Saccharomyces cerevisiae S288C: one gene and its partner. The protein of the gene in region 1 interacts with the protein of each later gene in a biochemical or structural test. Each region holds a gene or a part of one and is shown in the gene's direction. Other genes may lie near its edges. The genes, in order: ELF1 and CKA2.

Region 1 (3,253 bases):
GTCTTGTGGGCTGAAAACTACGGCGTTTATTTTTTAGATAGGTTATTCCTTCGTTGGATTGAGTAAGAAAATGTCGATACTGTGTTACGTTTGCAAGGAAAAGATTTAGTTGCGATTAGCCATTCATTCTTGTGGAAACTTCTTTAAAAAGGGATGGCGATGGAGTACTTATGTCCAATTATGAAGTCAAATTTATTTTCAAACCGTTACACGTAGATTATTTTCCTGCAGTGGTAAGTATCTTTGAAGTGTTGAAAGTTTTTTGGCACATATTTTTTTGCGGATGTGGGCCTGAGTTTCCTGTTAGAAACAAAGATATGCTTAAAACTAAATAACATTGGAAATTAGGGCATAGTCTTCAATGTTATACTTAAACATCACAGCAGGAGATTGAGATGATTGAAAGAATGGTGCAAGAAATGATTCATTAACATTCTTCCAAGTTTTGCAATATTTGCAAGTATTACTATCAGACTTTAGTTGAAGTGACTATGCTATTACCAAATTTCACTGGAGCCAGAAAAATAAAGATCACTTAGAGACAAAGAAAAGTAACATCTTCAACATAAGCCGGAGCTCAAAAGTAGGAAATCGGATAAGAAACTTGATTCTGTTATTTCAAGTGATTTTTTGCTGTATCGCCCACGTTCTTGTTGTAGATGTTTTGTAGATGTGGGACCGAAAGTAAGTGAACAGTGAAGTAAACAGAATAGGATTCTAAAAAAGAGCTTATAAACTGTTCTTTAAAATTTTTTCTTTCGTGAATGTCCTCGAGCTATCTCAAAGAAAACGAAATCTTCATTCAACTTAAGTGTAGGTATTATTTGCTGTTTCATCAAATGCGGCACCAAAGTGGAAGTATTCTAGTCAGTTAGTTTTTCATTGTGAGGAATTGATATGTCGTTCTCTGATAGAACCACGCTAAGTTGGTGTTCAATTTTTTGCAATTCGGTAGTAATTATGCCTTGCAACATGTTTTATTCTTTTATAGTGTGATACCGTCAATATGATGATTTGCGGTGGAGCATGCATGTGCTTACTAGAAGTGCTGCTCTGGTGGGCATTTTAGGGACAAGAATAAATTCTTCTCTCCACTATCTGAACTTCCGTTATTCTTCTGCACGTAATTGCCGTTTTTAGGATTTTTTGGAGTTGTCACGGTATAGATATGTCTTATTGCGTGATTTCACGGTGTCTTGCACACAACATTTCCAGGTCACAATATTTGGTTCGAGGTTCCCAGCAAGAATTCATTATCCTTTTCAATGTGTCGCATTAAATCATTATCCAAAAACAAAAGAACTTAAGAAGTACAAAAGACACTTGAAGTATGCTAGCGTAAGAAATACGGTAACCAATATTTATATGTAACATGCTTATTCTGTCATGATTTCACAGTTCAAACTACATTCCTATTCAAAATCATCGCGTTAGTGAGACAAAATCGGTGGGAGAGATGTTAGACAAAAAGATGACAACATTGGAAATAAACCACGACGAAAAATACCTTTGAAAGGATCTTTTTTCGATTTTCCTGTGAATTTGTAGGCTTTTGATGGTACGAGGGTAAACCAAACTGGACGGGAAATCACCATTATTAGTCCTATGTAGAGCCTCGTCACCATACCTATATAAACATAACTATTCTTTTAAGTACTTAAACGGCTTTTTTCTGAAACAAATAGCCAATGTTTTCATAACGAAGATTCCAAAGTTACTTAACGCTCTTCAGGCACTTCCTTATTTATTATGACACGTACAAAATAATAAATTCGTAGTTATAAGATTATCTTATCATATTTAAAATATCTCTTCTTTCAGTTGAAATTGGGCCCAAAATTTTTACCCCATAGCGTTAAAATTAAACAAAAACTGCTATTTCGGTGACAAATTGTAAAAATTCTGAAAACGGAAGAAACAAAAACGTTTAAAATGATTAAACTTTGGTAAAGCAATAATCTACAAATAATTGGAAAAGGAATAGTAATAAAGATGGGGAGAATTATGAAGAAGAATGTCATAAAAAACACTGAAAACAATTAACGAGCCATGGGTAAAAGAAAGAAGTCAACAAGAAAGCCTACCAAGAGACTGGTCCAAAAATTAGATACGAAATTCAATTGTTTATTTTGTAATCATGAAAAATCAGTTTCATGCACTCTGGACAAAAAAAATAGTATAGGAACTTTATCGTGCAAGATTTGTGGGCAGTCGTTCCAAACGCGCATAAATTCATTATCACAGCCTGTTGATGTATATAGTGATTGGTTTGACGCCGTCGAAGAAGTCAATTCTGGCCGTGGAAGTGACACAGATGATGGTGACGAAGGTTCTGATAGTGATTACGAAAGTGATTCAGAGCAAGATGCTAAAACGCAAAATGATGGCGAAATAGATTCTGATGAAGAGGAGGTAGACTCGGACGAGGAGAGGATAGGCCAAGTTAAAAGAGGCAGAGGCGCCTTGGTAGATAGTGACGATGAATAATCCGGTCCTGAGAAAAAACCATATTTACTTAGGTCATATATATTTTATATTTTAAAGCAACCACCCGTAAGCATTTAAGTCTCTTAAGCCAACAAATCGCCTCGCCATCTTAATCATCGTCATCAGTATCGAATATAGATTTTGGTGGGAAAGCGGTTTTAACGTGGTCCGCTAATTGCATCTGTCCATTTCCATCGTTCGTGGGACATCTATCAATGGTAATTGCGCCCACCTTTGATTTCAATAACGTGAAAGTACCATTGTTATTTTTGTCTGGATTATTAGGCAATAGTTGGCTAGCTTCCAACCGCTGCTGCTGGTCCTGTTGTATATGACTTTGTATATGCCTTTGTGGCGCATCCTCACATTTGCTGAAATCGAATTCGGGAGGTGGTGATGCTGGGGGCGATATCAGGAACATTTTTTCACTCTCTGGTACCTTCAAGTATTGTTTAGTTAAATTCCTTTGTCCGTCTTGCAAGGAGTAGCTGAAGTTAAAATTTTCCATTTCTAAAGCACGAGACGCATCCATAACATGCTGAGATATATCATGACTGGGGCAGATCAACAGTATTCTTTTAAACCTTTTCAAAATAATCAACTGTAGTGGTTCATTTTCATTGATTTGAAACTTCCTTAAGATATTCTTGGATAGCCAAACCTGGATTCTTTCAACATTATCATTATCAACAATGTCGCACTTATCCGAGGTTATAATTATCGTATCCGTTATAATATTACCCATCTGCAGTTCTGTGTTTTATAT
Region 2 (3,825 bases), on another chromosome or scaffold:
AGCGTTTAGGTCGACAATCTTAGGCAATATTCCTTTATAGCCAGATCCCGGAATCTTTTCTTCGAATGTATATTTCAATTTGTTGTCAAAATCTATAAATGGGTCGCAATCCGTAATAAACGCCGTATAGAAGGCTACCGTACGGTCATTTTTGACATTCGCAAACGCTATCCTCCATTTAAATAGCGAGAGTGCTTCAAGGTACTCACCCTGGCTCAATTTCACCAATATATTGTTACTAGAATTTGCGATAAACATTTCTCTCCCGCTTTTACCTAAAATAGTAGATCCCAAGGTCCTCAGCGCACTATATAACGCACTTTTATATGCTATGCCCGTAGGATTGTAAAACTCTACCCCCAAATGAGGCGTTGCCATTGTAATGAATAATTGTGGTTCAATATCCTCGAACAGTTCTTTAAATTCGGTCAACATCTTACCGATCATAAATCGGGCCACTAATCCGCCTTGCGAATATCCCATTACGCTTAGTTTGGTGATTTTCCCGTCTTTATAATCTCGGATAAATTCACAAACTTCAATCAATGTCCTGTACCCAATGATTTCGATACCATCAAACGTCTTAAACATGGCATTCTGCTTTGGTAAAAAATATATCATATCATCGTTAACATCTTCCTTTTTTAATGTAGTGGATAAAATTGTCCTCATAGATTCCATATGAGTATAGTTACCCCATAGCCCGTGAATCAGCACAAAAAGGTGTTTATCCGAAGTCATCTGAAGCGCTGTATAATATATATGGTTGATCACACGAAGTTTTCTACCGATTATTGCAGTAAAGAGTTGCCACCCTTTCTTTATTATCTTTGTTTTTCATTTTGATCTTATATACTGAAAATCCCCGTTGATCATGATTTGGTAAAGAGCTTCAGAAGAGTTTCCACAGTTTCCTGCAATGATTCAAACGAAACCTCTTCACCAGATCCCATCGAAATGCGTTTTAATTCATCCCTGTGCGTAAATTCAGCTGCATCAAACGTTATCTTGTATAACTTTTGATAGTCTGTAATAGAATTAGAAATACCTCGAAGTCGGAGGCCACCCAAAATTAGCTTGGACAAAGTTTCATTGAATTGAAGCCGTTTGTCATTAATATGCACGTTGCGATACACTTCCGTTTTCGTTCCGATCTTCCTTTGTTGAGATTGTTGTATTATTATATCAATACTACCTTCCTTTGATACGGAGGCCCTTGTCTTTCCAATATCTTGCTTCAATTTGGTGACCTGGCCATCAAACTCATGCTTCATTGTTAGATCCACTTGAAAGCAGTTTAACTCTGTGTTCTCTCGAAATATAATCAAGTATGCTGGCTCCTGCGATCGCTGATCGACCTTGTCAAACAATTCAATGACAATGCCACGATTCGCGTTCCTTAGTTTTGATTTGAAGTAAGCCTGTGCGGTTGCACTGGTACTATAACATCTATATGTATTCATATTTGTGGAGCGGACCCACAAAGGCAGTTTTGCGAGATCTACATACTGAATGAATTGTCCCCTCAACTCTGAAGTTGATTTACTTGCTGTAGGTCGATTGCTCCAAAGTTGGATATCCCTAATGACCAAACTTCCCTGCTTTCCGCTAAGAGTAAAATTTAGTGTGCATAATTTCCGTGACATCAAAAGTCAGGCGAATTGGTGAATGCTGTCCCCTTTCAAGGCAGTCTATCATTTCTTAGTTACCTGCCAACAGGCCTTTATCAGGCCTCAAAGAAAAAAATTTCCTTGCGTAGCCCGCTTTTCGCCCGAACCTGGCAAAGCAAACAGACGATCGAAAAATTTCCAACGATCTTATCTAGGTGGAAGTTATAAAAAGAAGAATAAAGCATCGTCAACCTTTTTAACCTGAATTGGGAAACAACGGGCACACACATTTGTTGGAGTTTGTATGATTGCTAAAAAATAAAAAGTAATTAAAAAAACATCATAGAGTTGTAAGGTCTCAGGGAAATAGAAGGAACAATAAACCTAAAAGAATAGAAGAAACAGAATGCCATTACCTCCGTCAACATTGAACCAGAAATCTAATAGAGTCTACTCTGTAGCTAGGGTGTACAAGAATGCCTGCGAGGAGAGACCACAAGAATACTGGGACTACGAACAAGGGGTGACCATCGATTGGGGAAAGATTTCCAATTACGAAATTATCAACAAAATTGGAAGAGGGAAATATTCCGAAGTGTTCAGCGGTAGATGTATTGTAAACAACCAGAAGTGTGTTATTAAAGTTTTAAAACCAGTTAAAATGAAAAAAATTTATAGAGAGTTGAAAATTCTGACCAATCTAACAGGCGGCCCCAATGTTGTTGGCCTTTATGATATAGTACAAGACGCTGACTCCAAAATACCTGCTTTGATCTTTGAGGAAATCAAAAATGTTGATTTCAGAACTTTATATCCTACATTCAAACTTCCTGACATCCAGTATTATTTCACGCAATTATTGATTGCGTTAGACTACTGTCACTCCATGGGCATAATGCACAGAGACGTAAAGCCTCAGAATGTCATGATTGATCCTACGGAACGTAAACTAAGGCTGATCGATTGGGGCCTGGCGGAGTTCTACCATCCAGGTGTAGATTACAACGTTCGTGTCGCTTCGCGTTACCACAAGGGACCAGAACTTTTAGTAAACTTGAACCAATATGACTACTCCCTAGACTTATGGTCAGTAGGATGCATGCTAGCAGCTATTGTCTTCAAAAAAGAACCTTTTTTCAAAGGGTCGTCTAATCCAGATCAACTGGTAAAGATTGCCACAGTACTAGGAACCAAGGAACTGTTAGGCTATTTGGGTAAGTACGGGTTGCACTTACCATCTGAATACGACAACATTATGAGAGACTTTACAAAAAAATCGTGGACACACTTTATAACCTCCGAGACCAAATTAGCTGTTCCTGAAGTGGTTGATTTAATCGACAATTTATTAAGGTATGACCATCAAGAAAGATTAACAGCAAAGGAGGCTATGGATCATAAGTTTTTCAAAACGAAGTTTGAATAATTGGACAACAATACTCTTAGCAAGGCAATTCTTTTTCCACCACTGATTTCCATTTATAAAAAGCAGGGGTTTTCCTTTTTTGTAGCTTGATATTAGAGAATATCCTTAATGTGAATATTAAATTGCAAACTCTATTTAACAACGAATGTAGATTATTATATGACCAGAAAATCACTTTATATAGATATAAGAGCCTTCCGTAATGCTATGCAAGTTTTGATGAATTATTATATTGTCGTGAGGCGTGTTCCGAGGAGTTTCGTCGCCATTGGGATAGAGATGCTCGTAATCGTACGTGTCTGGAAGTGCCTGCCGACGGTAGCGATGTCTACTCTCGTCCCAGACAATGGAATAGTTTTGGAATTGTTCTACATCATTTATTAGAACACATGATTCACGAAATCTCCCACGTTTGTCAATATCTCGCCTACGAACAGTGTCATCGAATGATATTGAACGCTGAGAGAGCCATTTACCTTTTGAGTAAAATACGCTGCCTTTTTTCAGCAATGAAGAAGCACTTCCCTCCTTTCTTACATCCAATAATTGCTTCCCTTGTTCCTTTATATTCCCCATAGGAAAGTCCGTTGGAGTAGGTTGCTCTCTTTCATGTATTCCAACCAGATCAGGTCCGTAAAGAACAGTAACGTCTATTTCTTTATTCCAGTTTATGCTTAGTGGATCAATTTTGTATTCATCTAAATTGAAGTGCTTTATGGACCACCTCCTCCATATACAATGATACAACCTAGCCATATATATGCTATAGTCAAACTCATTTTCAGAAGA

What was found.
Region 2: of the proteins of ELF1 (region 1) and CKA2, one has a biochemical effect on the other in vitro, tested with the Saccharomyces cerevisiae proteins (3 studies listed by BioGRID, with this or other methods).

What each region holds. Positions count from the first base shown.
Region 1 is NC_001143.9:151,220-154,472, forward strand, and holds ELF1 (Elf1p), read left to right. Parts: upstream 1-2,049; coding exon 2,050-2,487; downstream 2,488-3,253. Other genes in the region: RCN1 (Rcn1p), read right to left, coding at 2,597-3,232. UniProt on the Saccharomyces cerevisiae protein: Transcription elongation factor implicated in the maintenance of proper chromatin structure in actively transcribed regions.
Region 2 is NC_001147.6:439,518-443,342, forward strand, and holds CKA2 (casein kinase 2 catalytic subunit CKA2), read left to right. Parts: upstream 1-2,016; coding exon 2,017-3,036; downstream 3,037-3,825. Other genes in the region: LPL1 (putative hydrolase), read right to left, coding at 1-741; SLD7 (Sld7p), read right to left, coding at 873-1,646; YOR062C (uncharacterized protein), read right to left, coding at 3,208-3,825. UniProt on the Saccharomyces cerevisiae protein: Catalytic subunit of a constitutively active serine/threonine-protein kinase complex that phosphorylates a large number of substrates containing acidic residues C-terminal to the phosphorylated serine or threonine.